Ovis aries: one gene and its partners. The protein of the gene in region 4 interacts with the protein of the main gene of each other region in a pairwise test. Links are inferred from orthologs where the notes say so. Each region holds a gene or a part of one and is shown on either strand. Other genes may lie near its edges.

Region 1 (7,724 bases), on a different chromosome or scaffold from region 4:
TGTGGCTTGTCTTTCACTTTGTTTTGTTTGATTTTCACAGTTATGGAAACCTCGGAAGATTACCTTCTATGGCTTCAGCAAGCCTTAATTATTTCTTTTGTGTCCCAATGTCATGTCATTTTAAGTTATCCTGTTCTTAATAGTATTTAAAGTAAAACAGAAAAGAAAAAAATTGAAACATAGCAGCATGATTCCACGAGTGCTTATTCTAGTGATTTTTTTTCTTGGAAACCTTACGTGAAGAAAATTGACATGCTTTCCTCAGCCCTATAATTAAGTATGCCTGCCCGGAAGTCATACACAATATTTATGATTTTTGTGATTAATGTCCATCATAGTAATGCCTGTTGAAATTGCATCATCAAAAAAAAAAAAAAAGAAATTGCATCATCACAACCAATAATGGCTCAGTTCTGTCATGGGTTTGTTCTGGGTGCAAAATCACCAGTTCTCCTTACATCACTAGTATCTCATCAGTTGTCTTTCTTTTTAAATACTTCTCTGTGTCATAGCTCATTGTGAATCATGAATTGCCAACATAACCAAGAAATCGTCTTGTACCTTTCCTGGTTAACCGAAATGGAGTTGAAAATATAGCCTGCTGGTAACTTTCTTGTAGGTCTTTATGTGTCTGCAGGAAAATTCACATTTCAAGTGCTTCCCGCTTTCTTTAGGCCTTTGACAACAAATTTCCGAAGTCTGGTAGTAGGCAGGTTGGTTTGTCATAGCAATTTTTTTTAACCCAGACATTAAATGAAACCGAAAAGCTTCATGTACATCTAGTTCAAATAGTGTTTCTTCCAGAAAGAACATCCCACAGTAATAGCAATGACAATAATAGTATGTTTCATGAAAATCTGAACTACTAAGCTAATGGAGATTGCAGAAAAGGGTTACTGTTTGCCAGAGACCCCACTCAGAGAAACTGACAATCAGCAAAAAGTTCTTAGCAAGGGCTTTGTGCTTTGGGGAGCAATGTAGAGAAGAGTGCCGTGGCATTAATACAGAGCCTCTCCAACTGTTTTCAGTTCGTGTTCTCAAGGAGGAGGAACAAAGGGCCGGTACTAGTACGATAGCAGCTTTTCCCCATAGTACGATCAGAAAGTTTGGCTACTCAAGAGAAAGTGTTTTACCGTAAATATATATATAGATTTCATGGTTCTTAATGATTTATGTTAAGTGTCTTCATTGCTAAATGCCTTTTTCTTTTGTGCACTCCCTGAAGAATCTTGCTTCAAGGACTGTCTGCAGAGGCCAGAGTCAGCTTTGCTTGTGGGGGAGGGGAGGGTTCCAGCGGCTGGGGCTGGGACACATAGTTCCCCGAGGGGGTTCCTTGGGCTGCCTGGGAACTAAGCCGAGTGCAAGATGGGTGGGAGAGCCCCCATCTGGTTTATCTGAAATCAACAAGAGCGTTTATCTGCTTTTAGGCTTTCCAAACAGCCCCAGGCAAGCAGAATCTGCATCTAAAGGTGCATCTTTTCTGCCTGGATTGGGGTAGTCTGGAAGAGCCCTGGGAGGACTAGGCGCTACAGATTGTTGAGGACAGACTGCCATTGTAGGTGCCTTGCTGTCTCCTTCATCCTGGGGTTTTTGCCTCTGTACTGTGTCAAGAGACAGGCAGAAACTGCCAGGAACAGGCTCTCCACACACCAAATCAAGGTGGGTTGGTGTCACAGCCGCAAGCCCAGGGGCATCTGGTTTAGGCTGACATCTAGAGCTGCCCTGTGGTGCTCTCTCCTTCTACCCCGCCCCCATCCTTTCTGGCATTAATAACTTGAAGACAAATACTCAACGGCTAGACAAGGACCCAGATCTGGACCTGGAGGCCTGAACTCAGATCCCTGCTTCATGAGCACTCTGAACCCAAGGAAATGACCAGGTTAAAAGGAGATTCATCCGGCCTTTGCTGTAGGCCACCAGGACAGAAAGTGTGTGTGATTAGTTCCTCCTTAAAGCAAGATTACCAGGTCAGCCTGTTGCAAAGTCACGAGGTCCTTGAGATATCTGCCCCAGTCAACCCAACTGCCTGCCTTCAGTGCTACTGGGCTTGGCTTTAACTTTCTGGAAGATCCACCACATCTTCTCGGGTTTCAAGAAAAATCCTTTTAGGAGTTGAGGGGGTCTCTTCTTCCCTTCCTGATGTGATGACCTTGCACGATGACCTGATGTGACTTCCTGGCATGATGACCTTGTCCTTCATAGGCTTCCAAATCTTTTTTCTCTGAAATGGCCAAAATATGTCCCCCACACTGCCAAAGTACACAGGTGACTCAAGGTCAGAATCTGGAGGGTAGGCCAGTCATTGTTCTGCACACAATCTTCATCTAAATTAATGTAAAACCTTGTCTGAATGGTATGTAAACTGGGTTGAGTTATCGTCAGCAGGCTAACCATCCTCCTTCCCCCCACCAAACGATGGGGCTCCTACAGATTAAAAGATCACCCTCTTTCTAGGCAGTGTGTGATTTGCCTATATCTGAAATAGCAGCATGTACATTGCACAGATTATGTACCTTGTTTTTTTTTTTTTTAATTTTTTTTTAATTTTTGTGGACGCTGTGCCTCCTCTTTTCACTTTCTGGGAAATCGGCCAGTGTTTCAAGGACCCTGTAAAGAACAAAATAAATGTTTGTAGGTAGTTTCAAGGGAAAATGAGTATGCTGGATGCAACTCTGCCCATCCAAAGAAAAGTATTTGAAGTGCCTTTCTGATATTTTAATGAACTGGAGAGATTCAGAAGGTGGATTTTACTAGTTTACTTTTCAGATTTTGATCAACATGTGAGTGTGTTTATGTATGTTGGGGAGGAGGAACTGTTGAGAAAGTGTAGGCAAAGGAGTGCAAACTTCGCAAAGTCCAGCTGAAGAGACTGAAATTGATTGTGTGCAAAGTCAGCTGTATCTGTCTGTTAATCAAGCTCTAAACGCTTGGTGAAGAAAGTGTGTAAGAACCTTCAGCATATAACCTGTCCTCGTTGCCCTTTATAAAAGGGATTTCACTGAAATTTGGGACGTTCCGCAGTCGGCTGTTCCTTTTTTCAGGATATCAGCCTATTGGGGAGGCTGATTCTGTGAGATGAAAGAGACGGAGAACCGGCTTCCAGCAAAGGCTCCCGCCGGCGATCCTGGGCCATGTTTTCCTTCCCCGGCTGCGGAGTCGCCGCAGTTTGCCTCGGGGGGCCCGCGTGGGTCCAGGGCAGGACAGCGCATCACCTGTTGGGGCCTCGGGGAAGCGCGCGGCGCGGGGGCGGGCGGGGGGCCCAGCCCGCATTCCTCAGGGACCCGGCGGGCGGACAGACGGACGGACCAGGGGACGCGCGCGCGCGGAGGGACGCGGGAGGCCGGGCGCTGGAATGCAGTCTTCCCCGGCGAGAGAGACTTTGCACGGGAGTGGAGAGTAGTTTGGGGTGGGGTTTCGCACCGTCCCCTCCTCCCCACCCCCCGGGCCCCCTTCCAGGCGCTTTCTGGAAGCGTTTTTTCAGAACGGCGCCCTGAAGTTTAAAGACCAGAGAGGAGCCTGGGCCGGAGGCAGGGACAATGGAAGAAAACGAAAGCCAGAAATGTGAGCCATGCCTTCCTTACTCAGCAGACAGCAGACAGATGCCGGGTAAGTAAGAGGCTCTCATTCAAAGATGGAGTTACGGTTCCGCGTGTGCCTCGCGGCTGGCTGCTGCTTTTTATAACTGCAGACCGAGCGCCTGGCACAGAAAAGGCGTATTTCTTGGGGTGGTGCGTTTTCCCAACTCAGTGGAGAGCTGTAGGCTGGACTTTTTTTTTTTTTTTTAAATCTCTGGCAGGATTTTCTTAAGCTGCCAAAGAAGTGGCGGGGTGGTGTTACACTGGTAGCCCTGTAAGCCGTCAATACTTGCTAGATCTCCAGGCAGTGGCAAATACATCCCCAAAGCAGCTTTCCATACTCCCTGCTCCAGCCGCGGGAGAGAGCAGCTCTTTCTGGAAAGGTCTCTCGGGACGGCAACACTTCCATTCATTGGTTGGGGGGATTCCACGAGGCACAGGCACGTCGGAGGCAAGTTTGGTCGTATTTGAGAGTTAAATCGCAGAGTTTTCTTTTTTTTTTCCTTTTTCTTTTTTTTTCCGGATCGGAACAGCAGGGGAGCACTTGTCCATGTAGAGGAGAGATGGAGCTGTGCGAATTTTCTGTATGCTTGAATTCAAAAGTTGGGAGCTGTTAAGACAGTTCTGATAGATTTTCTCTGAGCAGTTTCTCTTTGATTGTGTTTATAATAGACTTGTCTTTTCCGTAGGGAACTTCCAGAAGCTTATGTCGTTCCAAAGAAATTATGCAGTGTGGTTGGGTGGGGAAAGGGCTCCTCGGCTGGGCCGTCCAGTGTCTGACGTCTGTGACTCCGGAGCCTACCTTGCATGCACTATCGCGAAGGCGGCGGGTTTGGACCCGGCGCAGTCCAGAACCCTCCCTGCCCCCACTTTAGCCCAGGTTCATCCAGGGGCCAGTTAATAGCCCTGCTTGCGGGGCTGCAGTGCTGTGCGTGGGAGTAACAACAATGCACAGGGGAAAAGGTGTGTGTTTTTTAAAAGGCAAAAGGGAAGTCACACATGACTCATCCACACTGAAAATGCAAAACTAAGCCAGACAGAAGAAAATACAATTAGAAGAGATAGAAATTCCCCCCGGTGAAAAGCAGGAAACTTTAAGACCAGTGAACCCTGGAGAATCCCAGACTCAGAGTCCTCCGCTTGCTGGCTGTGTTTGTGCTGTCAAAGCACCACACTCTCCTTGGGGGCCCCCGGGCAGTGGGGCCCCCTCCCCTGCCCTCTTTGATAGACAGGGTCCTGCAGCAGGAATTCAACCTCTGGGCTTCTGCTGCATTACGAAATACTCGGAATCTGCAGGCGCAACAAGAGAGTGGAACTGATTTAAGAAAACAATTTACAAACAACCACAGCAGTTCAGAGACACTTCAGAGACTGAGATGGTGAGACTGATGCAATGTGATCACTTTATTTCATTTATTCACTAAATATCAAGCCTCTGTTCTGTGGGAGTCACTGTTTTAGCTTCTGGGGATCCAGCAGTGAACAAAATAGATGAAAAGCCCTTGCTTTATATTCTAAGGGCCAAGTTTGGGGGAAGGGGAGTGGAGGACAAAAACAATAAATGTAAAATAGCATGTTATATGGTGGGGTTGCCGTATTTGTCAAACAAAAATAAAAGGCTCATTTAAATTTGAATTTCAGGTAAAAAATAAACTTTTTTTTTAGTATAAGTGTATCCCATGCAATATTTGGGATACACTTATGCTAAAAATTATTCGTTGTTTATCTGAAATTCAAATTTAACTGGGCATCTTATATTTTATCTAGTAAGTTTATTAAACTGTGGGGGAAAATAAGGCAGAGAAAGAAAATATTGAGTATGGGGGTGGTCAGGGGTGAAACTGTAGTAGGGTTATTAGAGATGGCCTCACTACTATGTTGGAGGAGGTAGTGGCAACCCACTCTGGGGTTCTTGCCTGGAGAATCCCCATGGACAGAGGAGCCTGGCGGGCCACAGTCCATGGGGTCTCAAAGAGTCGGACACAACTGAGCGACTCAGCACTGCTGTGATACTTGAAGGGACATCAGAAAGAAGTGAGGGAGAGAAGAAAAAGGGCATCTTCAAAGAACAACATGGGGAAAGGATAGATAGAAAAGAGGTTAAGAGAGAATTCTAGGCCCTGTCGGGTAGGGCCTCTGATAGTAGAGTAAGGACGTCGGCTTTTATTTCAAGGGAGGTGGGAGCTGCTGGTGGGTCTGAGAGGTTTCTTCAGAGGTAGTCCTGGGTGCTCTACTGAGAATCACCCGAGTGGGGTTGGGGGCAGAGCAGAGAGCTCAGTTAGGAAGCTTTCAAAGTAAACCAGTCACTAGCTTGGATCAGCAGGTAGGGGAGTAGAACAGGTGGTCGTAAGAAGACAGACTTTAGATATGTATTGAGGATGAAACTGAATTTGCCAAGGGATTGGATACAGGATATAAGAGAGACAGCGGAGTCAGAGATGACTTCAGAAACTTTGGCCTGTGCTTCTGGGAAGTTGTCATTTACCTGAAGGGGAAAGTATTGGAGAGGAGTAGCGGAGAGGGTGTTTGTGGCTTGGAAGTGGAGAGCAGAAAATCTTTTGGCTATGGTAGGATCTGGAAGCTTATCAGGCATCCAAGTGGAGATGTTGATTGCAATTTGGATGTTTGTAGCTGGAATTTAGAAGAGGGGACCCAGGATTGTTAGAAATGGTCCAGGATTGAGTCTGTGTGCAGAAGGAGGCTAGAAAGGTGGCTGGGGAGCACGTGAAAGAGGGCTAAGAATTCAGGTTAGATTTCTAAGATCCCCATTGCATCCTGGGTGAAAATGATGCTGTGAAAGAGTGTGGCCTCTTCTCCAGTTCTTCGATACGCAAGAGGACCATGCAAAGGAGGCCAGCCTCTGATGGCTTCATCACCCATGATTCCTTGTGGGCTTGATCGTATTTGGCATTGTAATAATACCGGTGAGAGTGTGGTATTCGAGGGCAAAGACCGTGACTTCTTTGTCTTCACATCCCCAGAACTTAACAGAGCACCAGGCATGAGACAGCGATCAATAAATATGTGCTGAACAAAAAGCTAATTATACCACCCTAGGGCTTTGAGTTTATCAATCTACAGATAGATAAGGATCCGCTGGGTGATCCTGTAACTTGTTCAAACCAAGACAGTTTTGAGAGTGAAAGGGACCGCTATAAATAATTTCAATGGGACAACAGTTGTAACCCAGAACTGTTTTGGCAACTGGGCATATGGTTACCTTGAGAATAATTGTTATCGATGATGCTCCTGGGGCTGAAGCGTCAGCTGCTGGGTACTAAACAGTGTGAAGTGCAGAGAGGTGCTTAGTAATTAGTGGTTGAATTTGAGTCTAACTATATCATGCTTTTATTTTTTTGGCTGTGTGCCATGTGAGATCTTAGTTTCCCAGCCAAGGATGGGACCTCTGCCCCCAGCAGAGGCAGCACTGCGTCCTAACCACTGGAGCACCAGGGAAGTCCAATATTCTGCTTCTTTTGGGCTCCCCAGAGTGGTCCTTAGGATGCCCATGCCTGCCCATAGCAGCCCTGAGGCGACTGCTTTCACTCTGGCCCCAGTGTCTTGAAACCCCTGTGCAGCTGTGTCAGCCACCTGCTTGCCTCTACCACCCCTGATTCACTGGGGTCTTAAGATACTAGTATTCACTGTGGTAGTAATCATTTCATGGTATGTAACTATCAAATCAATATATTGTACACCTTAAAATCAGATAAGATTACATGTCAGTTATATCTCAGTGAAGTTGGAAAAAAAATCATATTGGCAGCCTTGCAGAGTATAGCCCTGGCAGGGGAGGTGGTAAATGGAGAGGTCCCCAGGGGTCCCCAGACATTCTGGTCTTTGCTCCAAAGCATCCTCTAAAATTGCATATCAGTTTCTGTCCCTTATCCTGTTTTAACCTTAAAGCACTTTTCACTCAGTTCAGTTCAGTCTCTCAGTTGTGTCTGACTCTGCAACCCCATGGACTGCAGCACGCCAGGCTTCCCTGTCCATCACCAACTCCCAGAGCTTCTAAAACTCATGTCCATTGAGTCGGTGATGCCATCCATCTCATCCTGTTGTTCCCTTCTCCTCCTGCCTTTAATCTGTCCCAGAATCAGGGTCTTTTCCAATGAGTCAGTTCTTCACAACAGATGGCCAGAGTATTGG
Region 2 (7,139 bases), on a different chromosome or scaffold from region 4:
AGTCGGCAAAGTAATGTCTCTGCTTTTCAATATGCTATCCAGGTTGGTCTTAACTTTTCTTCCAAGGAGTTAAGCGTCTTTTAATTTCATGGCTGTAGTCACCATCTGCAGTGATTTTGGAGCCCCCCCAAATAAAGTCTGACACTGTTTCCACTGTTTCCCCGTCTATTTCCCATGGAGTGATGGGACCGGATGCCATGATCTTCATTTTCTGAATGTTGAGCTTTAAGCCAACTTTTTCACTCTCCTTTTTTACTTTCATCAAGAGGCTTTTAGTTCCTCTTCACTTTCTGCCATAAGGGTAGTGTCATCTGCATATCTGAGGTTATTGATATTTCTCCCGGCAATCTTGATTCCAGCTTGTGCTTCATCCAGCCCAGCGTTTCTCATGATGTACTCTGCATATAAGTTAAATAAGCAGGGTGACAATATACAGCCTTGACGTACTCCTTTTCCTATTTGGAACCAGTCTGTTGTTCCATGTCCAGTTCTAACTGTTGCTTCCTGACCTGCATACATATTTCTCAAGAGGCAGGTCAGGTGGTCTGTATTCCCATCTCTTTCAGAATTTTCCACAGTTTATTGTGATCCACACAGTCAAAGGCTTTGGCATAGTCAATAAAGCAGAAATAGATGTTTTTCTGGAACTCTCTTGCTTTTTCCATGATCCAGTGGATGATGGCAATTTGATTTCTGGTTCCTCTGCCTTTTCTAAAATAAGCTTGAACATCTGGAAGTTCACGGTTCACATATTGCTAAAGCTTGGCTGGGAGAATTTTTAGTATTACTTTACTAGCGTGTGAGATGAGTGAAATTGTGTGGTAGTTTGAGCATTCTTTGGCATTGCCTTTCTTTGGGATTAGAATGAAAACTGACCTTTTCCAGTCTTGTGGCCACTGCTGAGTTTTCCAAATTTGCTGGCATATTGAGTGCAGCACTTTCACAGCATCATCATCTTTCAGGATTTGAAATAGCTCAACTGGAATTCCATCACCTCCACTAGCTTTGTTTGTAGTGATGCTTTCTAAGGCCCACTTGACTTCACATTCCAGGATGTCTGGCTCTAGATGAGTGATCACACCATTGTGATTATCCGGGTCGTGAAGCTCTTTTTTGTACAGTTCTTCTGTGTATTCTTGCCGTCTCTTCTTAATATCTTCTGCTTCTGTTAGGTCCATACCATTTCTGTCCTTTATCGAGCCCATCTTTGCATGAAATGTTCCCTTAGTATCTCTAATTTTCCTGAAGAGATCTCTAGTCTTTCCCATTCTGTTGTTTTCCTCTATTTCTTTGCATTGATCACTGAAGAAGGCTTTCTTATCTGTTCTTGCTATTCTTTGGAACTCTGCATTCAGATGCTTATATCTTTCCTTTCCTCCTTTGCTTTTCGCCTCTCTTCTTTTCACAGCTATTTGTAAGGCTTCCCCAGACAGCCATTTTGCCTTTTTGCATTTCTTTTCCATGGGGATGGTCTTGATCCCTGTCTCCTGTACAATGTTACGAACCTCATTCCATAGTTCATCAGGCACTCTATCTATCAGATCTAGGCCCTTAAATCTATTTCTCACTTCCACTGTATAATCATAAAGGATTTGATTTAGGTCATACATAAATGGTCTAGCGGTTTTCCCTGCTTTCTTCAATTTCAGTCTGAATTTGGTAATGAGGAGTTCATGATCTGAGCCACAGTCAGCTCCTGGTCTTGTTTTTGTTGACTGTATAGAGCTTTTCCATCTTTTGCTGCAGAGAATATAATCAATCTGATTTCGGTGTTGACCATCTGGTGATGTCCCATGCTGTAAAGAGCAATACTGCATAGGAACCTGGCACGTCAGGTTCATGAATCAAGGCAAACTGGAAGTGGTCAAACAGGAGATGGCAAGAGTGAATGTTGACATTCTAGGAATCAGCGAACTAAAACCGACTGGAATGCTTGAATTTAACTCAGATGACCATTATATCTACTACTGTGGGCAGGAATCCCTCAGAAGAAATGGAGTAGCCATCATGGTCAACAGACGAGTCTGAAATGTGGTACTTGGATGCAATCTCAAAAACGACAGAATGATCTCTGTTCATTTCCAAGGCAAACCATTCAGTATCACAGTAATCCAAGTCTATGCCCCAACCAGTAATGCTGAAGAATCTGAAGTTGAATGGTTCTATGAAGACCTACAAGACCTTTTAGAACACCCAAAAAAGATGTCCTTTTCATTATAGGGGACTGGAAAGCAAAAGTAGGGAGTCGAGAAACACCTGGAGTAACAGGCAAATTTGGCCTTGAAATGTGGAATGAAGCAGGGCAAAGACTAATAGAGTTTTGCCAAGAAAATGCACTGGTCATAGCAAACACCCTCTTCCAACAACACAAGAGAAGACTCTACACATGGACATCACCAGGTGGTCAACACCAAAATCAGATTGGTTATATTCTCTGCAGGAAAAGATGGAGAAGCTCTATACAGTCAAAAACAAGCACATACACAGATACTCAAAAATTTTAATCATTAGGGCAATGTAAATTAAAATACAATGAGATGCCACTACACACCCACTATAGAATGCCTATAATTAAAAAACAAATCATGATAACAAGTGTTGATGTGCAGAAATGAGAACTTTCATACATTGCTTGGTGGGAATGTGAAGTGGCACGCACCACTTTGGAAAAGTTTGCGGTATGTGGAAAAGTTACACATAAATTAAACATATAGCTTAGCAATTTTGCTTCTTGGTATCTACCTAAGGAAAATGAAAAGATGTAGCCTCACACACACTTGTCTATAAATGTTCCTAGCAGAAATTTTCATAATAACGAAATGATGACAACAATCCAAATGCCCATCAAATGAAGAATGGATAAACAAAATTTACTCTAATACTAGTCAACAATAAAAGGGAGTCAACTGGTGCATGCTACGACAGGGATGGACTTCCTTTACGTTATGCTTAGTGGAGGAAGCCAATACAAAACACTATATATTGTGCAATTCCATTCATAGAAAATGTCCAGAAAAGCCACATTTAGAGTGACCAAGAAATGATTAATTATTGCCCAGGGATGAGAATGAAGATAGCAAATTGGCTTGATTAGATTTTTAGGGTGGTGATGGAAATGTTCTATAACTAGATTAAAAAAAATTCTTTTTATTAAAGTATAGTTGATTTACGATGTTTTGTTAATTTATGTGGTACAGCAAGGGATTCAGCGTAACTAGATTTTGATTATAAATTGTTGCACAACTCAGTAGAAATTATTATGTGCGTAAGATGGTGCATTTTATATTTCTATAAATATAAATGGCACATTTACATTTATACGAATTATACCTCAAGAAAGCTGTTTAAAAAAAGTGTGCCTGTGGACTCCACTGGTATTGGCTATATACCTCAAAGACTACTTTTGTTCTCTTTGTAAAGTTGTAGGCAAGAGAATTCCCTGTGGATTCAGAATTGGTTAGCCAGCGCAGTGCCCCTTATTCCCCTGGAGTGCCATATTTGATGTATGTGGAGTGTATGTGTGATGATAGCAACATGATGGCAATCGCCCCATGGATGACCAGGAGGCCTAGCAAGTCTGGCTGGTGGCTCAGTCACTCTTTGCTGATTCACAAGGGCACCTTCCCTTAGAGGAATGGAACTGTTCTTGGATAAGGGAAAACCAGCAGTTGGACTTCTCTGTTGGAGTCCATTCCATGGGTCCACTCATGGCCCTGGACCCTCTACAGTCCCCACATGCAGCACTGTGGGTGTGATGAGACTCCTATAAATTAGTCTCTTCTGCATGTGTGTGCGTGCTAAGTCACTTCAGTCGTGTCTGACTCTTTGTGATCCCATGGACTGTAGCCCACCAGGCTCCTCTGTCCATGGGGATTCTCCAGGCAAGAATAGTGGAGTGGGCTGCCATGCCCTCCTCCAGGAGACCTTCCTGACCCAGGGAGCGAAACTGCATCTCTTACATCTTTTGCATTGGCAGGCGGGTTCTTTACCACTAGCACCACTTGGGAAGCCTTCTGCTGCACAATAATCTGCAAATACCACAAAGCTGAAACATTAAACCCTTGGTTGAGGTGGTGGCAGGGATCTAGTCTGGTTTTCCTCTGTCTCCTGAAACATCTCCCTGAAGACTGGCTTGTGGCTTCTGGGAATACATGCAGGTTGAGTGATGGGATTTATGAATAATCACCGCCTCTGCTTTATTTTCAGCTGACTATTTACCCTGGAACCAACCAAGACGAGAGCTGCTTCGTCCACCTCACCACTACCGGCCAGCATCAACCAAGTTTGATAGTCGCACCACACAGCAGGACGACTACTCCATGAAGGGCCTGGTGAACACCAGGAGCTGTAAGCCTCCAGCTGTGCCCAAGCTCTGTAACATCCCCCTGGAGGATCTGACAAACTACAAGATGAGCTACGTGCCCCACCCCTTGGAGAAGCGCTTTGTGCATGAGCCAGAGAAGTTCAGACCCTGTGAAATCCCCTTTGAAAGCCTCACCACCCACAAAGAGTCATACCGGGGTCTGATGGGGGAGCCAGCCAAGAGCTTGAAACCTGCCAGGCCTTGTGGGCTCGACACGCCATTTTCTAACACCACTGAGTTTAGAGATAAGTACCAAGCCTGGCCAACGCCCCAGGTGTTCTCCAAACCTCCTGCCATGTATGTCCCTCCTGAAGAGAAGATGGACCTTTTGACAACTGTGCAAGCCCACTACACGTACCCTAAGGGTGCCCCAGCTGAGTCCTGCCGACCTGTGCTCTCGGTCAAGAAGGGTGGCCGCTTTGAAGGCTCCACCACGACCAAAGAGGACTACAAGCAGTGGGCCAGCACGCGGACAGAGCCAATCAAGCCCATCCCCCAGCTGAACCTTCCCACTGAGCCCTTGGACTGCCTGACCACCACACGAACCCACTATGTGCCCCACCTGCCCATGATGACCAAAAGCTGCAAGCCCGTCTGGTCTGGGCCCCGAGGAAATATCCCTGTGGAGGGCCAGACCACATACACCATCAGCTTTACTCCTAAGGAAATGAGTAGGTGCCTGGCTTCATACCCTGAGCCTCCTGGCTACATCTTTGAGGAAATAGATGCTTTGGGGCACAGAATATACCGGCCCGTTTCTCAGACAGGCTCTCGGCGGAGCAGCCGTTTTTCTGTAGGTGATTCAGAAAATCCCAACCAGCAGGAGTTGACAGTGTCAGCCTGATTTTTAAAGGCTGTAATTTAGGAATTGCACAATACTTATAAAATCATATGGTTGAGCTATTCATTGGACCAAAAGAGAAAAAAAAAAAAGAATTCCCCAAAACTGAAAAAAAAATTTCATCGTTGTTTCCTGGACACTTGAATAAAACAAGAATCACTTGACTCAAGAAAAATGACATTTAATCACTGGCTAATCAGTCCCCTAACCCTCCCTCTGCTGTCTCCCCATCTTGGCCCCTTTACCCTGTGCTCATGGAATCAAAGCTGGTCTCTGAGGTTTCCTTCCCATCCAGATGTATTTTACTAGTTTAATCATTGTATACATTGACATTATGATCATCCCTTGCCAAGTATGAAGTGCCAAAGAATAAACTTCATTTTGGGGGGTTTGAATCTGCAGGTCTGTGTGTTCACGCCATGTGCTGTCTACGCAGAGAGCAGGCCGTGTTTCTTGCGACCTCTGGGGATATTTGAGCCTAAGTCTCTTGTTGCCTCCTCATCCTGGTAGGGGTGCCTCAGGCCTGATCTGGAGTCTTGTTTTGGGGCCTCTCTGCCCAGGGCTGCTTCACAGGGCATCTTTCTACCTCTTTACATCATGACATACCAGTAACAGCAGTGTTGTCTGATGGGGTATGAGTCTTGTCGTGAGTCTTGCCCATGAACCGGGCACTCAACTGAAGTTTCCTCTCCGCTGCACGCTGTTCCCCAGTTCTCTGCTACCATGGAGTATATTTTAGGGTTCTACAGACTCAAAAGAGAGACAGATGGCGGGAAAGGACAAGGTTCTATGGCAGAGCCTGGAAAGCGTGGACTGCCAGACCTCTCTCATTCCCAAACCAGTGCAGGCTCTGAGTCCGGGAAGCGGGGGTGGCGGCCGGGAGAAAGGGAGCCCTTGGCAACCAGGCAGTTGGCAGCTGGCCCTTAAGCTATGAGCTCTTCTAAATGCTCAGAACCTGGAAAAAATGGCCGCACATTGGGCTGATTCCTGGGAAGCCTGGACCCGCTTGTCCTAAAATGACAGCTATGACCAGGCCTCTCACAAAGTGTGACATAGTGATAATGGAGAAAGGGTTGGAGGTTCCTTTTTGGGGCCTAAGGTTTGATCCTAGAGTTAAGTAATTTGGAGAAATTTTTTTTTTAAATTAGGAAGAATCAAGGAGGGACTTTGTTCAAGATGGCCCAGGCAAGGATCAGATGGGTTCAAGGTCTGTGTGAGCCTCACCCAGGGGGATGCAGATTGACGCTTGGGTTATCTGCCTCTCTTTTGAGTCTGTAGAATCCTAAAATATACTCCATGGTATCAGAGAACTGGGGAACAGCATGGAGGGGAGAGGAAATTTCAGTTCACTGCCTGGTTCATGGTCAAGAAGCCTGCATCTCTTATTCAAGTCTGTCTTTCCATGGCTGTCGCCTCCCTGGCCCAGATTTTCAGGTCCCCACTCACTGTCTTCTTACCGTGAGGTTAGTTTGCGTCACTGGATTGGGATTTATGGCATTTAATCCTCTTGGCTGTATCAGGTGTGGATGACTGCCCTTATGGGATAAAGAAGCTCGGAGAAACGATGCACCTTGCCTAAGGCCACAGAGCTTGGAGCACCAAGGCCAAGACTGGAACCCAGGTCTTCTGTTTCAAGATCCAGGGCTCTTGACTCAACACCAGGCACCTCCCATCTGCAGTGACTCAGATCTCATGGCTCCACCAACCACATCAAATTGTACTGTCTCTGTCTGAACTCCTTTCTGGAGGCCATTAAGCTAAAGGAGGCCACTTAGGAGGGTAGGTTTTATTATTTTTGTTTCATCATTTTTCACAGATCAAAGGAATATTGGCACTTGATTTGAAAAACTAAATGGTATTAAAATGCTTATAAAACGGCAGCACTCTAAAGCAGCCACCCCTTAGTCTCTATTATAACTTCCCCAGGGAACAACT
Region 3 (7,022 bases), on a different chromosome or scaffold from region 4:
AAAAGCATCAATTCTTCGGCGCTCAGCTTTCTTTATAGTCCAACTCTTACATCCATACATGACTTCTGGAAAAACTATAGCTTTGACTAGACAGACCTTTGTCAGCAAAGTAATGTCTCTGCTTTTTAATATGCTGTCTAGGTTGGTCATAGCTTTTCTCACCATCTGCAGTGATTCTGGAGCCCAAGAAAATAAAGTCTGTCACTGTTTCCATTGTTTCCTCATCTATTTGACATGAAGAGATGGGACCAGATGCCATGATCTTAGTTTTTTGAATGTTGAGTTTCAAGCCAACTTTTTCACTCTCCTCTTTCACTTTCATCAAGAGGCTCTTCAGTTCCTTTTCGCTTTCTGCCATAAGGGTGGTATCATTTGCATATCTGAGGTTATTGATACATCTCCCAGCAATCTTGATTCCAGATTGTGCTTCATCCTGCCCGGCATTTTGCATGATGTACTCTGCATGGAAGTTAAATAAGCTAGTTGACGATACACACCCTTGACGTACTCCTTTCCCAGTTTGGAACCAGGCTGTTGTTCCATGTCCGGTTCTAACTTGCTTCTTGACCTACAAGAAGAAGTTTTACCCTACTTGTTGTTTTAGTCATTAAGTCATGCCCTAGTCTTTTGCAGAACTATGGACTAGAGCCCACTAGGCTCCTCCATCCATGGAATTTTCCAGGCAAGAGTTCTGGAGTGGGTTGCCACTTCCTTCTCCAGGGAATCTTCCAGACCCAGGGATCGAACCTGCATCTCCTGCATAGGCAGGTGGATTCTTTACCACTGAACCACCTGGGAAGTCCCTTACATGTATTTGTTGGGGTCAAATACATGTAATAATTTGTATTTATAATTGGGCCAGGAGAGCCATTAGGTAAATTCAGATATGTTTCTCAGTGAGGCAAATAAGATACAAAATCATAGGTCCAACTTATTCTAAGTACTTTTTTTAATGCCCATAGAACAAGGAAGTAGACCAAAATGTTAATGATATATTTTATGAGATATTTCAGGTGATTTTATTTTTTAAAAAAGAAAGAGTTAGTGCTTTTTGCTCCCCCACATCCCACCAGAAGCAATTCAGTAGGAAGTGGCAGCCTGTTGGCCCCAGCCCTGCTTCCCTGGCTCACACAGCACTGGGCAGATTTTGCCACAGCCAAGACAGCCACAGAGAGCTGCGGACAAGTACTGTTCACGTCCCGTTCTTGGTTCAGGAAGCCTCCAGCAGACACTTGTTTTATGCTTCCTGTGGAGCAGAATGTGGAACATGCATCCTCGGCACCAAGTTTGCAGAGATACAAGATTGTCCTTAAGGGGCTCCCGTCCACTTCCCCTTGAGCAGTCAGGTTGCCTGCCTTGGGAGGCCACGCAGGAGCACTGGGTGCTGCATCTCTGGCCTGGCTAGTGTATGTGTTGTGCACTGCCTTGCAGCTCACATTAGGATCTGTGACTTTTGCAGTGTGATTTGTTCATCCAGGAGGGGGCCCGCCTAGGAAGAACCCCCGCTGAAGTCGTTTCAACTTGTGACATCACCTTTGCCTGCGTGTCGGACCCAAAGGCAGCCAAGGACGTAAGGATCCCTCCCTCCCCTCAGCGTCTCAGGTTGTGGCCAGGAACGCTGGCTGGCCTCCTCCCTTTGTCCCCTGCACACCGAGTGAGTGTCTGCATGTGGGGGGTTGGGTGTCCCATTTGGGGGCCGTCTCCCATTGTGAAGGGTGTTTGCATAGACTGAACACAAGACTTCCTTTAATTCAGAACAAAGAATGAAACTGACTGGGGTCCCTGAGGTCTGTGCTGAAATGGTTCCTGACAAGCTCATGTGTTCCTGGTGAGCTGGAAGCTTTGAGGCTGAGTGTGGCTTTGGTCCATGTGCCAAGTTCCTATATTTAGCTATCACTGTATTTGTATGCTTTAAAAGTTCAAGTGCAGTAGTTATCTTGTCGAACTCGTGACTAAACTAATCCAGGTAAATCCAAAAAAGCTAAAAAATAAATACTGGCCTTTAATCTTTTCAATGGGAGGCTTTTAATGAAGAGAAATACATATATATTCTTTCTGAAGGTAAATGGGAACATAACATAAATTCTTCTCTTTCCCTTGCTTATTTACATGCTCTTCCCTTTTGAGCTTTAATAATTAGCTTCTGTTTGGGAAATGAGCCAAAAAAAATCAGCAAGTCTTGACCTTAGGTCTGAGGGTCTCCTGGGTGTCTGGCTGGGAGCCTGGGCTATTGCTCCTCCCTTGTGTCCCCACAGCTGGTGCTGGGCCCCAGTGGCGTGCTTCAGGGGATCCGCCCCGGGAAGTGCTACGTGGACATGTCGACAGTGGACGCTGACACAGTCACCGAGCTGGCCCAGGTAGCAGCCTTGTTCAGGCTGGCCCTCCAGCGTCCTTTCAGTTGGAGCCCAAGACCCAGGCTTACCATACCCCAGTGTGGGTCACATAGTTACTCCAGAGCCACAGCAGAGACTGTGGGATTCTAGCCTGTTTTCACTCTCTGCCTTCAAGTCTACAGCTGGTCTGCATGGCTGAAACAGAAGTGCTTCTTAGCTGGGAGAGGCATCAGGTCCCGTAGCCACTAGCCTTTCAGTTGGAAGCAGTCCAAGCTGCCAGCAGGGTCTTTGTGGTTTAAACAGCTTTCTGCAGTTAGTACTAGCAGAATATTCCCCCACCCTGAGCCTCTAGGCCACGGTGAGAAGATGGTGACTAGTGGCCCATGTGTGTTCAAAGAGTGGCTGAAATCAAAGAAGGGCAGTGTCTGTCCTAGAAAGTGTGGTCGGCCAAGCCGTAGTGTGATCATGTTGATGATATCTTTGTAATGGGAGCCTCTGAGGACCCCCAGCTCCTCGCTGTCTCCTTCATGGGATTCAGGCATCTGGTGGAGGACAGTCTGCTGGCCCTCCCCCAGCATCAGCCCAGTACCTTGGTACATGCGTCTGCTTTGGGGCTCAGTGTGGAGGGCCTAGTGCTCCAGTCCCTGCGTGCTCTTTACTTCCTGCCCAAGACCCTCTTGAGAGGCACAGCCTCCAGAAGCTGTGACTTTCCTTTCCAGGTGATTGTGTCCAGGGGGGGCCGCTTTCTGGAAGCCCCGGTCTCAGGGAATCAGCAGCTGTCTAATGATGGGATGTTGGTGATCTTAGCGGCCGGAGACAGGGGCTTGTATGAGGACTGCAGCAGCTGCTTCCAGGCAATGGGGAAGACCTCCTTCTTTCTAGGTAACATGCCTGCCCACCCGTCAGGCCACTGCAGGCCTGGAGGCTGGGTGGGCCACAACCCCTCTAGACCACCCTGAGGACAGCGTCAGTCCCGCACGGCCTCTCTGCCTGGGGCCCCCGTGGGAAGGTTTCTTTGACTTGCACAGTCAGTGCCTGCAAGGAGGAAGAGCCAGAAGGGTCAGAACCAGTTCTGTCAGGGGCAGGTGAATGGGGCCTCCCCTGGGTGTAGAGGTGGGTCCAGGCAGGGTTGAGGGTGGGCAGAAATCCCTCCCCGTGGGATTCCTGGGATGTGACTGCAGTTCTTTGCCCTGGGCAGGTGAGGTTGGCAACGCAGCTAAGATGATGCTGATTGTGAACATGGTCCAGGGGAGCTTCATGGCCACCATTGCAGAGGGGCTCACCCTGGCCCAAGTGACAGGCCAGTCCCAGCAGACACTCTTGGACATCCTCAATCAGGGACAGTTGGCCAGCATCTTCCTGGACCAGAAGTGCCAAAGTAAGTTGCCTTTGACCACTCTTGTTGTGTTTTAGTTTGGGTTCTAGCTGGGAAGCTGGGTCAAGCAGCCATCACAGAACAGTGTCTTTGGGAGCTCCTTCTGTGTGAATGACACATCCTCTCCAGTCTGGCCCCCAGGCAAAGTGAAGTGAAAGTCGCTCAGTCGTGTCTGACTCTTTGCGACCTCATGAGCTATACAGTCCATGAGGAATTCTCCAGGCCAGAATACTGGGGTGGGTTGCCTTTCCTTTCTCCAGGGGATCTTCCCAACCCAGGGATTGAACCCAGGTCTCCTCATTGCAGGTGAATTCTTTACCAGTTGAGCCACAAGGGAAGCCCAAGAATACTGGAGTGGGGAGCCTCCAGATCCTTTCTCCAGTGGATCTTCCTGACCCAGGAATTGAACTGGGGTCTCCTGCACTGCAGGCAGATTCTTTACCAGCTGAGCTCTGAGGGAAGCCCCATAGGATTTGGGGGTGCAGTCTGGGAACTTGTCTCTTGGGTGTCTGAGGAGTAGGAAATGCTAGGTGTTGAGCCCTGACAGTGCTCCAGATGCTTTTTTATTTAGGATCCTTTTAATTCTTCTGGTGAATGCCTTTCCCTCCTCAGATATCCTGCAAGGAAACTTTAAGCCCGATTTCTACCTGAAATACATTCAGAAGGATCTCCGCTTAGCCATTGCGCTAGGTGATGCCGTCAACCATCCGACCCCCATGGCTGCTGCAGCCAATGAGGTAACTGCAGGAGGCTGTGGGTGGGGCCTGCAGACTTCCCTTGTTCCCTTGCACTGCCCCTTCTGCCGACTTTGCCTTGGCTTGGCCATGTCTGACCTCTCCAGGGGGAGTCTTAGGTTGTTAATTTTAGGCTTTCCTTTTCTGAAGTTGTATGTCTCCTCCAGTCCATGCTGACTTTGCTGGGAATTCGTTGACCTGTGGGTTACTTAAAAGTGTGTCAAATATGAGTAAAAATCCTAAAGGATTTCCTAGATATCGAATGGTTATTGATTTCTAATGTATCTTTGTGGTCAAAAAATACACTCCGTGTGGCTTTTACCTCTTTGCATCAATTCGGACCTGTTTTGTGGCCCAGCAGACGGTCGGTCTTGGTGGGTGTACCACATTCATATTCACTTAAGAAGACTGTGTGTTCTGCAGTGGGTGCTGTGTTCGGCATCTATCAGTTAGGTCGAGATAGTTGGTAGTGTTTTTTCAGATCATCATTACTGACCTTTTTCTCCAGTTCTTTTAATTGCCGAGAAAGGGATGTTAAAATCTCCAGCTGTTATTGTGGGATTATCTGTTTCCCCTTTAATTTTGTCCATTTCGCTTAGTATCTTCGGAAGTTTTTGTTAGTGGGCCTTAGCCATTTATGATTATACTGTCTTCCTGATGAATTTGCCCTCTTGTTATTAAGAAGTGTCCCTGTTGATCTTTGTCTTGAAGTCTGTCGTCAGACTTTCATATGGCCACTATGGCCTTCTCAGGTTTACAGTTTCCATGCGTTCTATCTTTTATTTCAATCTAACAGAAGTATAATCTTTCAGAAAAACAGCTGAGCAGTATTCATCTTTGAATTGCAGTGAGAACCACATGTTGTGAGACACATACATATATACATCATGTGGATTCATTTTAGAAGTTCTCTCTTCCAAGCGCTGTAAGCCGCATGCATTTTTATCCAAGTTAAATAGAGGTCTCTAGTGGCTTTTCCTGTAGAGGCAAAGAAATACAGATACACAGTACTGGGGGGCTCCCTGAGGGTCTAGTGGTCAGGGCTCTCTGCTCCCACTGGTGGGGCCAGCTGAGCAGTGCAGCCAAAAATCAGTGAAAAAACGCAGTGCCGCTCTCTTCAAACCTGCCTTTCCATGGTCGATGATCTTCTGTCCTTGAATTCTGCGTCTCTCTCTCTTCCTTGTCTGTCTGAACATCTGAGTACTTCTTCACTCTTCCAGGCTGCAGTACAGTTTCTGATTCCTCTTGTCGTACCTTCAGGTTCTCTCTTGGCAGTGAAGTTCCTGGCTGTTGTATAGTTTTTCGCTGATAAGTTTGTCTGTAACTGGTTACTTCTGAAGGGTTCTGTGGTATCTTATGTTGGGAGCACTTCTCTGCGAGGTGATTTCCACTTGCCCCTCCCTGACTCTACAGGATTCATGGACTTGGAAACAGACATTTTGGTTCAAAGTGCATCATCTTTATTTTTGTCTTTTCTCTCGGGATTACTGTATGCATCTTAACTTCACGTCCTAGATTGGCCCTGTCGTAAAATGTGTATCCATTTACCACTGCCTTCCTCTCATCCTTGGGAGCATTGTTCCTTGGCCTGGGCACCACTGGCACTTGCTATGGGAGCTGTCCAGTGTATTGTAGCCTCCCTGTCCTCTACCCACTCGATGTGATTGCACCCCCTTGGTTGATAGGAGATGTCTCCAGACATCACCAAATGTCGCTCCAGATGGGGAGCAAAAGGACCCCAGGTTGAGAACCCTTGCTTTACTGTACACATGTCCTATATGTTATGTTTGCTTTGATTTTTAAGCTCACCATTGTTGGAGTGTCTCGCTTTAGTAGTCGTATGAATTCTAAAGATATTCAGAGAAAAGATAAGTTTCTGTTTCTCTACCATTTCCTTTCCTTTCCTTTCCTTTCTGAAGAATTGAATTTCTCTTTGGTATTGTTTCTCGTTCAGCTGGGAGAACTTGCTTTAGCATTTCCTGAACGCAGGTCTGCTGTCAACAATTAGTTCTCTTTTATCTGAAAAAGGCCTTTATTTAGCCTTTGTTCTGAGTTCACAGCTATACCCAAGGTGTAATGGACATCAATCATGATGACTCCAACTGAACTATGTTTAAAAATAGAAAAAAAATACACCTATGTCCAGCTGCATTTTTCAACATGCCTGGACATTGCCCTGCCCTTATTGAACAATGGTTTTTCTAAGTTTTCTCACACTCTTTCATATTCACCTGGTGCCTTTAGAGTGGCTGTTAATTGCCAGGGACCGTCCTAGGCTCTGGGGACATAGGACAGCCCCTTCTCTTCCTTGTAGAGATTACGTTCTAATGGAAGGAGGCACCAGGTAAGCACATAAATGTTTCGACAAGGAAGAACTGCAGGAGGTTAGAATTGTGAATAAAATGGAGCAGAGTAAAGGGATGGAGGTGGCCGGGTCAAGTGGCACAGCTGGCACTTCAGATGGATGACGGGGAAGGCCCTGGAGCTGATGGGGCAGGACGGGGCCGCAGCCTCGGAGCATCTTCAGATGGAAGGGATGTGATTGTAACTACTAACCAGTGTTGAGCCCTGCCTCCGAGC
Region 4 (7,022 bases):
GTGCATTTGGGAAGGAAACAAAGAAGTGAACTTGTAGTTAGACCTCAGCATGTGGGGTTTTGAATACTTGGAACCGTTTTCTTGGCTTTCGGAAATAATTACAAAAGTTTGCTTTGTGGAGAAAGTGAGGTCAGGAGAAACGTGCCTGTCTTTCAGGAAGCGAACCCCGGGCCTGGCAACAGGGTAAGTGGCAGGGTCTCTGCCAGAGTCTTTCTTCAAGGATTTGAAGGACCATACGGATGGGAAGCACAGAACATCTTTGCAAAGTGCTGCGCCGAGTGGCGTGGCGCACCCCCCGACATGGCGGGGTCCTGTGGGTCTGAGGACTGGGTGGCTCAGGAATCAGCAGCTGAGCTTCCCCCAGCCTGGGAAAGACAGACAGGGGGCAGAGGACGGCGAGGGACCCCGCTGCCCTGGGCCGCCCCCATTAACTGGGGGGTGCAGGGTCCCTCCGGGCCCCTGACTCCACCCACGGCTCAGCCGAGACCTCAACAAGGGCAGAGCAAAGCCACAAGCCCTTCCCACATTAGGAGTGTCTCTGAAATGGAAAATCAGAAAGGAAGTGTTTGCGCCTAATCTCACATCGTTTACCAAACATTTTACAGCAATTTATGACTTTCTGTGTGCACAAGACTACCTTGCTAGTTTTTCTGGGATGTGTTGAAGATTTTTTTTTTTCCTTTCTTTTTCGCCCCTTCATGTGCTCTCTCTCTAGAGAACCTTAAAACAGGGGCATTTTCTAGGATGTTTCAAAGTTCTTGAAAGTTAGTCAGCGAGCCCCTACTTCTTAGCCTTGAACCTCTGTGGTGTCTCTGGGGACCACCCGGTAGGCTCGGCACACAACAGAATTCAGCGAGACAAGACTAGCTCGGTACTACAAGACTGAAACTCCGTTTGGAGAAGGGAATGCCAGCGGTGAGAAGAGTCACTCAGAGCCCAGTTTACATACACACGTTTAGAGCAGGCGTCAGCCTGATTCAGGCACCAGGTCAGATCACCTAAGCAGACCAGATGCCTCGGCCTTTCTGTGCCAACTTCCAGTCCAGCCCCACAAGCTTCGAGCTAGCAAAGCCAGTGGCCTTTTCCCACCTTGGCGCCCATGCAGTGTGGACTTTTCCACAGAAGGGAGTCCCAGAGGAGGTGGGGGCGTGAAGTATCAACCTGACTCAGACTGACACGTAAGGACGGCACGAGAGAAGGAGGACTCCCAGGAGAGCTGACAGCACGGCCTCAGATGGGGCTTCACAAGCGCCCGAGCAAGCTGCAGGGTGTGGCTCTTCCAGGTGTGCCCATGGGGGTGGTACCCAGGCCCGCAGGGCCAGCATCACTCGTGGCCACACAGGCATCACCGAGCAACTGGTGTCCTAGCCGGGCCTCATAGCCAAGGGGGATGGGGGCCTTCAGAGGCCAGGACAGCGCAAGCCAGGGTATGGGCAAGGGAGAGGGGAGCATAGCAGAGAGGAGGCTGGGGCAGAAGGTGAGTCTGGGTGAACATGCTGGGGCCTGCTTGTAAAGATGCTGCCGGGCCAGGTAAAGGTCTATGCCCTGCCAGATGCAGACCAGGAAGAGGGATGCAGCGGACTGGGTTCACAGCATCTTAGCGTCATTCTGTTAAACTTGCTCACCTATAAAATAGGAATAAAACCTTATTCCATGGCGTCATTGTGTGGTTCAAAACAAGAGGGGATTAAGGGAATTTAAGAGTTAGAAGGGCCGTGGAGGCTGAAAGCGCTGTACAGGTAGAGTGATTGAGCCCAGGAGCCTGGAGCTCTTAGAGGAGGGCATGGAATCCATCTTGGTCTCATGAGTAAGTGACGCTTCGGGGCACCTGATGTCACCATGAGCTGGGACCGAAGACCAATGTTAGCTGAGCAGTTACAATGTGCCAGGACTGTGGTCGATTCTTCACCATCATCTCTGCTTCCCCGGTGGCATCTGAGGCTGGAAGGGGTCAGGTTGCTGTCACCACCATGCAGCAGGTGTGTGGCAGAGCCAGGACTCAAGTCTGGAGCCTTCAGGTTTAATCGCTGGGGTGAAATACACCAGGCATTTTAGACACATGCTCCCAGGGTCCCCAGGGGCTCGAGTGGCGTGGCAGGTGTGCAGGGCAGTGGCTTGAGGTTCCCCACCTGCCTGCACGCCAGGTTTCCTCGGCCTGGGGTGGCCGCCGCCGCCGACGGCACATGGAACAGGGGTGGGTGAGCTGTCGTCCTGCCTCAGCCCACCCCCTCCCCGCCCCACTGATGGTGATGCCAGCTTGTTCAGAGAGAGTTGTGACTCACCATGGCTCCTGAGAGTGTGGGTGTAGATTGGTATTTATCTTCAAGAAAAACGTTTTTGTCAGAAGGTTGAAGAATTATCAAATGTCTTTGAATGAACAGTTCAGGGCTGTTGTATGTTAATGCGGAAACACGTGTGTGCGCGTGCGTGTGTGCGTGTGCAAGAGACAGCAGACAGGGAGCAGCTGTGCAGGGGGTGAGGATGCCACAGGGAAGGGATGGCCGGTGACTCAGCTCGGCAGGAATCTCGGCAGGATGGTGACCAGCCCCCTGGAGTGGGTGTGGGATGGGGGTGGCGCTGAGGGTTCTAGGCAGCTGCTGTCACCAGCCTGGAGGGCCATGCCATAGCCAGGGTGTGATCAGTCCCTCCCTTGAATGCAGGATGTGGGACTCGGGACAGCGAGCGACCAAATGACCAACAGTCTCAGGAGGGTGGAGGCCAGGAGCTGGACCTCCCTCAAGAGGATCTAATCAGGACGGGGTGTACTATCAGATTTAGAGAACTTTCTAGTGTCAAGGGGGCTTTCTTAGTGGCTCAGTTGGTAGAGAATCTGCCTGCAATACAGGAGACCCAGGTTTGATCCCTGGGGTCAGGAAGATTCCCTGGAAAAGGGAATGACAACCCACTCCAGTATTCTTGCCTGGGAAATCCCATGGACAGAGGAGCCTGGTGGGCTGCAGTCCATGGTGGTGCAAAGAGTCAGCTTAGCACACGCACGCAGTGTGTGTCAGAATTTCTTTCATTTTTGAGGCTGTGAATAACGGTCCACGTTTGTCCATCACTGTCTGTCCACTCTGTGATGGACACTTCAGTGACTTCCACCATTTGGCTTCTATGAATCTGGATCCACAGATTCCCACTTTCAATTCTTGGGACATCTACCCAGAAGTGGGATTGCTGGTCATGGGGTAATTCTCTGTTCACTTTTTTGAGGAACTGCCTGCCTTACTGTTTTCCATACCAAAAAGAAAAAAATTGTTAAATGCATTTATTCCATAATCAGCATTACAACAGTGATCACGTGATCCAAACCCCAACGCATCTTTAATTAGGCTGATTACTGTCCTCAGTGGACAGGACTTTATTCAAACCCTCAACAAAGACAGAGCTGAACGGCACTCACCTGGGTACATTCATCTGGCCTTCTGGTCCAGCCTGGTGGGAACTCTCCCAGCCGGCGCCCCTCAGGCTGGCCCTCCTGGTCTCTGCCCTTTTTCTGCCCAGCTCACACATCCTCTGGTCTTTGATGTTCAGCTGGTAGCACTTCCTGGAAGTGTTCTACTCGCCTTCTCCAGGTTGACCCAGGGGCCCCACCCCAGGCTCTGTCTCTGAGGTTCCCTCAGCCCATCCTCCCTCCCCTGGGAATCACAACCACCGCCTCAGACATGGTTGGGTTTGTCCCGTGTGCTTGTGGCCAGTGGACCCCCAAGGTCTGTGTGTCCAGCAGAAGCAGCTTCTCTTTCTTACAGAGAGTTCCCAGGGAAAAGCACCTGTTTTTCAGAAGCTTCTAAAGAGTGGCTCCGTACCCCACCCGACCCGTCCCAGCCCCTCGAGCTCCACCTCCCTGCCTGGCCCCTCTCACCTCTCTGCCTCTCTGCCCCGGGTCTGCAGGACTTGTCCTACAAGGACCGGCACTGGCACGAGGCCTGTTTCCGTTGCTCACGGTGCCGGGGCTCCCTCGTGGACAAGCCGTTCGCTGCCAAGGAGGACCAGCTGCTCTGCACTGACTGCTACTCGCAGGAGTACTCGTCGCGATGCCAGGAGTGCAAGAAGGGCATCATGCCAGGTGGGTGCTGTGATCCCGCCTTTCGCACATGCGCGAAGTCCCCAAGCCCTAACCCCCCAGTCCCTCCCCAGGCCCCCCTCCACCCCGCACACTCGTGCTGGACCTGGAGCTGGGTGCTGCACCCCGTGCGGGTGACATCCTGGCCGACTTGACCGCAGCTGGGCCTAGTGGCCAGTGATGAATGACCTGTCTGTTGATGGGGGCGGATGGGACTGTATCCCTTGCTTTTGGTTGGGGGAGGGGAGGAGGAATCTTTGCTTTATGGGAGAGGAATCTTCTTTTAAAGAATAGAATGGACAAAAATGCTATGTGAAATTTTTCAACACAGTATTTAAAACATGATCTTGTTAAGACACACAAAACAAGAGCAAGAAGAACCTAAGATCTGGACCCTGGATAGTTCATCGGCCACAGAGGGTCAGTGATGTCCTCTGCATGACCAGTAAGGGAACTGGACAGTAACCTTGCCAGACTTAGCGCATAAAACACAGGACTCCCAGGTAAACTGGGATTTCAGCCGATCCCACCTGAGACCTCGTTAACCTGGCTTCTCTGCCAGAGAGCCATATAAAATCAAGAGAGGGCTCCGTCCTATGACTGTCTTCTGGGGTGTGGCCCCCAAACCAGGCTCAGGGTGGTGGGAGCAGGACACAGGTCTAGGTCCCCAGCTCTTGGGAAGCTGGATGCTGCTGCCTGGGGAACCCTCAAATTGCTCAAGAAAGTATCTGTCCTCAAGATGGCTTCTTAGAGGATGTGCTTCCTTCAGTCCTGAGAAGCTTTAGAATTAAGGGCACACTTATTAAGACAATCCAACCCAGAGCAGTAATATTGTGTTAAATAATCTGATAATGCATGAGTGAAGTTTAGAAAAAAAATTGGTCTCAAGAGTAAATTAATTCTTTTATTCTAACTAAAAGTGTGCCATTGAGTGATTTAGGTTTGTGGTTTTATACGGGGATTTTCTTAATCCGTAAATGTTTTTGACACTTAAGATACCTTAGTTTTTGAGGCTGTGAATAACAGTCCACGTTTGTCCATCATTATCTGTCCACTGTATATATTTAGCTCACTTCATCGACAATTACTTAAGAACTTGAGGTCCAGTTTGCCAAGGTCCTCCTTGGCATCGAAGTAGAAGGAATATCAAATACATTAAATTTTGTTGTTCATTCGCTGAGTCCTGTCTGACTCTTTGCAGCCCCATGGACTGCAGCACGCCAGGCCTCTCTGTCCTTCACCATCTCCCGGAGTTTGCTCAGACTCATGTCCATTAACTCGGTGATGACATCCAACCATTTCATCCTCTATCGCCCCCTTCTCCACTTGCCTGCAATCTTTTCCAGCATCGGGATCTTTAAATTCTAAGTGTCCTTTTAAAGGACTTTACTACATTGGTGAATGGAACCAAACATAAAGTCATGCCCCTTAAAAGTGATTTTTAAAATGTGCTGTATCCATGAACACACTGATAAGATGCGCAGGATGAAGTTCAATGAGGGGTTTTGAATTTTCAATTTCAGTAGAATGAATGTCAGCTTGTAGAAACCTAGGTGCCCTGCAGAGTCATGCTAGTCCACACAGCAGCTGGGGTTGCGCCGACACACACAGAGAACTTAGGCAGCAGGGATCATTTAGAGTCAGACTCCTGACTGCAAGGAGACGGACCCAGGGATGCCCAGCCGCCGGGCACTGAGCCAGGGCCATGCATGTGGGGAAAGACACAGTTTTCCAGGGCAGTGGTCCAGACTGGGGAGAAAAATGATCACTGCTGTTTTGACAAAGACGAATATACCTTAGAGTAAGAGGTGAATTTTTCCTAAAATTCCTGGGGCCACCAAGACGATTCTGGATTCTGGCAGGCTGGTCTCTGAGGACTGCTGCCCCTCCCCCCGCCCCGCTTTCTCCCCAGGGACATCCATCTCACCATCTCAGCTGTTGGGGTTTTTAGGAGAAGCTTGGCTGGTGTCTACTGTGATGGAGGCACTAAGTCAGAGCAGGGCAGCCAGCAAAGGGGCCCTTGGGGACGTGACCTTTGAGCAGTCTCAAGGTCGACCTGATTTCAGCGGATGGAGTAGTCAGTAGAGGGCACATCTGGCAGAGGAAATGGACCAGGCATCAGAGGTGGTGTGCCCAAAAAGGCCTGCAAAAATAAAACAAGTACTAGACACTTAAAAAACCAAACAGAAAAAACCCACAAAACTAGATCAGAGCGCTAGCTTCCTTCCTTGGTTTGATTTTCAAAAGTGCTACAACCAAATCAAGATGAGAGCAATGCAGACTGGCAGCGCGGCTTCTGCAGGCGTCCCCACTCAGCACCCACAGCTGTGAGTCACCAACCCGAGGTATGAGGCTCCCTCCCGAGCCCACGCAGGGATGCTGAGCCCTGGCTCAAGGCCTCCAGGTAGCCTCACGCTGTTGCCAGGCCTTCACCGGTTTTCAGCTTCCTCACTTGCTCCTTTGAATCAGAAAGACACCCCTTCCTCCAGGAGGTGGACTCGGTCCCCTGGCTCATCTGCAGGTTCTTAGGAGGAGCTTTGCCGCCCCCTGCTGGTGACTCTGCACAAGGCCCACAAGGTCTGCACCAGGTCTGAGGGTACCCAACTTGGGTGGGACCTGGGACCTAGGACTGGACATCTCCCTGAGCTCCGGGGTGGACAGAAGGCTCATTCTGAACATGCAGAAGGCATGTGTGGTCTGGTTTGGGGGCTTTAGTGAGACTCACGGTCATCGGGTATTTATGGACAAATTGTTTGGGGTCTGGGCTGAATGATCAGAGGGAAGGTCAGAGGTTAAAAGAACCAGTGTCTGAGGTGTACATGGGAAATTAAAATCCCAGAGACCAAAGGAGATTTTGGTTGTAGAATTTACAGCAAAGTCCTTCCATCATTTTTACCTGAGACGTAATTGCTTGATGTAATTTTTGCCATTTTCAGGATTCATTGCCTCACAATTTAAT

What was found.
Region 1: the proteins of FHL2 (region 4) and KIAA1217 interact in binary tests that used the Homo sapiens proteins (3 or more experiments, as listed by UniProt). The two-hybrid records come from large-scale screens. The link is inferred for Ovis aries from reciprocal best matches to the Homo sapiens genes FHL2 and KIAA1217.
Region 2: the proteins of FHL2 (region 4) and SAXO1 interact in binary tests that used the Homo sapiens proteins (3 or more experiments, as listed by UniProt). The two-hybrid records come from large-scale screens. The link is inferred for Ovis aries from reciprocal best matches to the Homo sapiens genes FHL2 and SAXO1.
Region 3: the proteins of FHL2 (region 4) and GLYR1 interact in binary tests that used the Homo sapiens proteins (3 or more experiments, as listed by UniProt). The two-hybrid records come from large-scale screens. The link is inferred for Ovis aries from reciprocal best matches to the Homo sapiens genes FHL2 and GLYR1.

The regions. Positions count from the first base shown.
Region 1 is NC_056066.1:24,436,320-24,444,043, forward strand, and holds the start of KIAA1217 (sickle tail protein homolog), read left to right. Parts: upstream 1-3,479; 5' UTR 3,480-3,536; coding exon 3,537-3,606; intron 3,607-7,724. UniProt on the Homo sapiens protein: Required for normal development of intervertebral disks.
Region 2 is NC_056055.1:87,517,384-87,524,522, reverse strand, and holds the end of SAXO1 (stabilizer of axonemal microtubules 1), read left to right. Parts: intron 1-4,206; coding exon 4,207-5,207; 3' UTR 5,208-5,379; downstream 5,380-7,139. UniProt on the Homo sapiens protein: May play a role in the regulation of cilium length. Stabilizes microtubules at low temperature.
Region 3 is NC_056077.1:4,456,226-4,463,247, reverse strand, and holds part of GLYR1 (cytokine-like nuclear factor N-PAC), read left to right. Parts: intron 1-1,459; coding exon 1,460-1,570; intron 1,571-2,255; coding exon 2,256-2,357; intron 2,358-3,052; coding exon 3,053-3,215; intron 3,216-3,531; coding exon 3,532-3,711; intron 3,712-4,320; coding exon 4,321-4,619; 3' UTR 4,620-7,022. UniProt on the Homo sapiens protein: Cytokine-like nuclear factor with chromatin gene reader activity involved in chromatin modification and regulation of gene expression. Acts as a nucleosome-destabilizing factor that is recruited to genes during transcriptional activation.
Region 4 is NC_056056.1:97,214,352-97,221,373, forward strand, and holds part of FHL2 (four and a half LIM domains protein 2), read left to right. Parts: intron 1-3,891; coding exon 3,892-4,066; intron 4,067-7,022. UniProt on the Homo sapiens protein: May function as a molecular transmitter linking various signaling pathways to transcriptional regulation. Negatively regulates the transcriptional repressor E4F1 and may function in cell growth.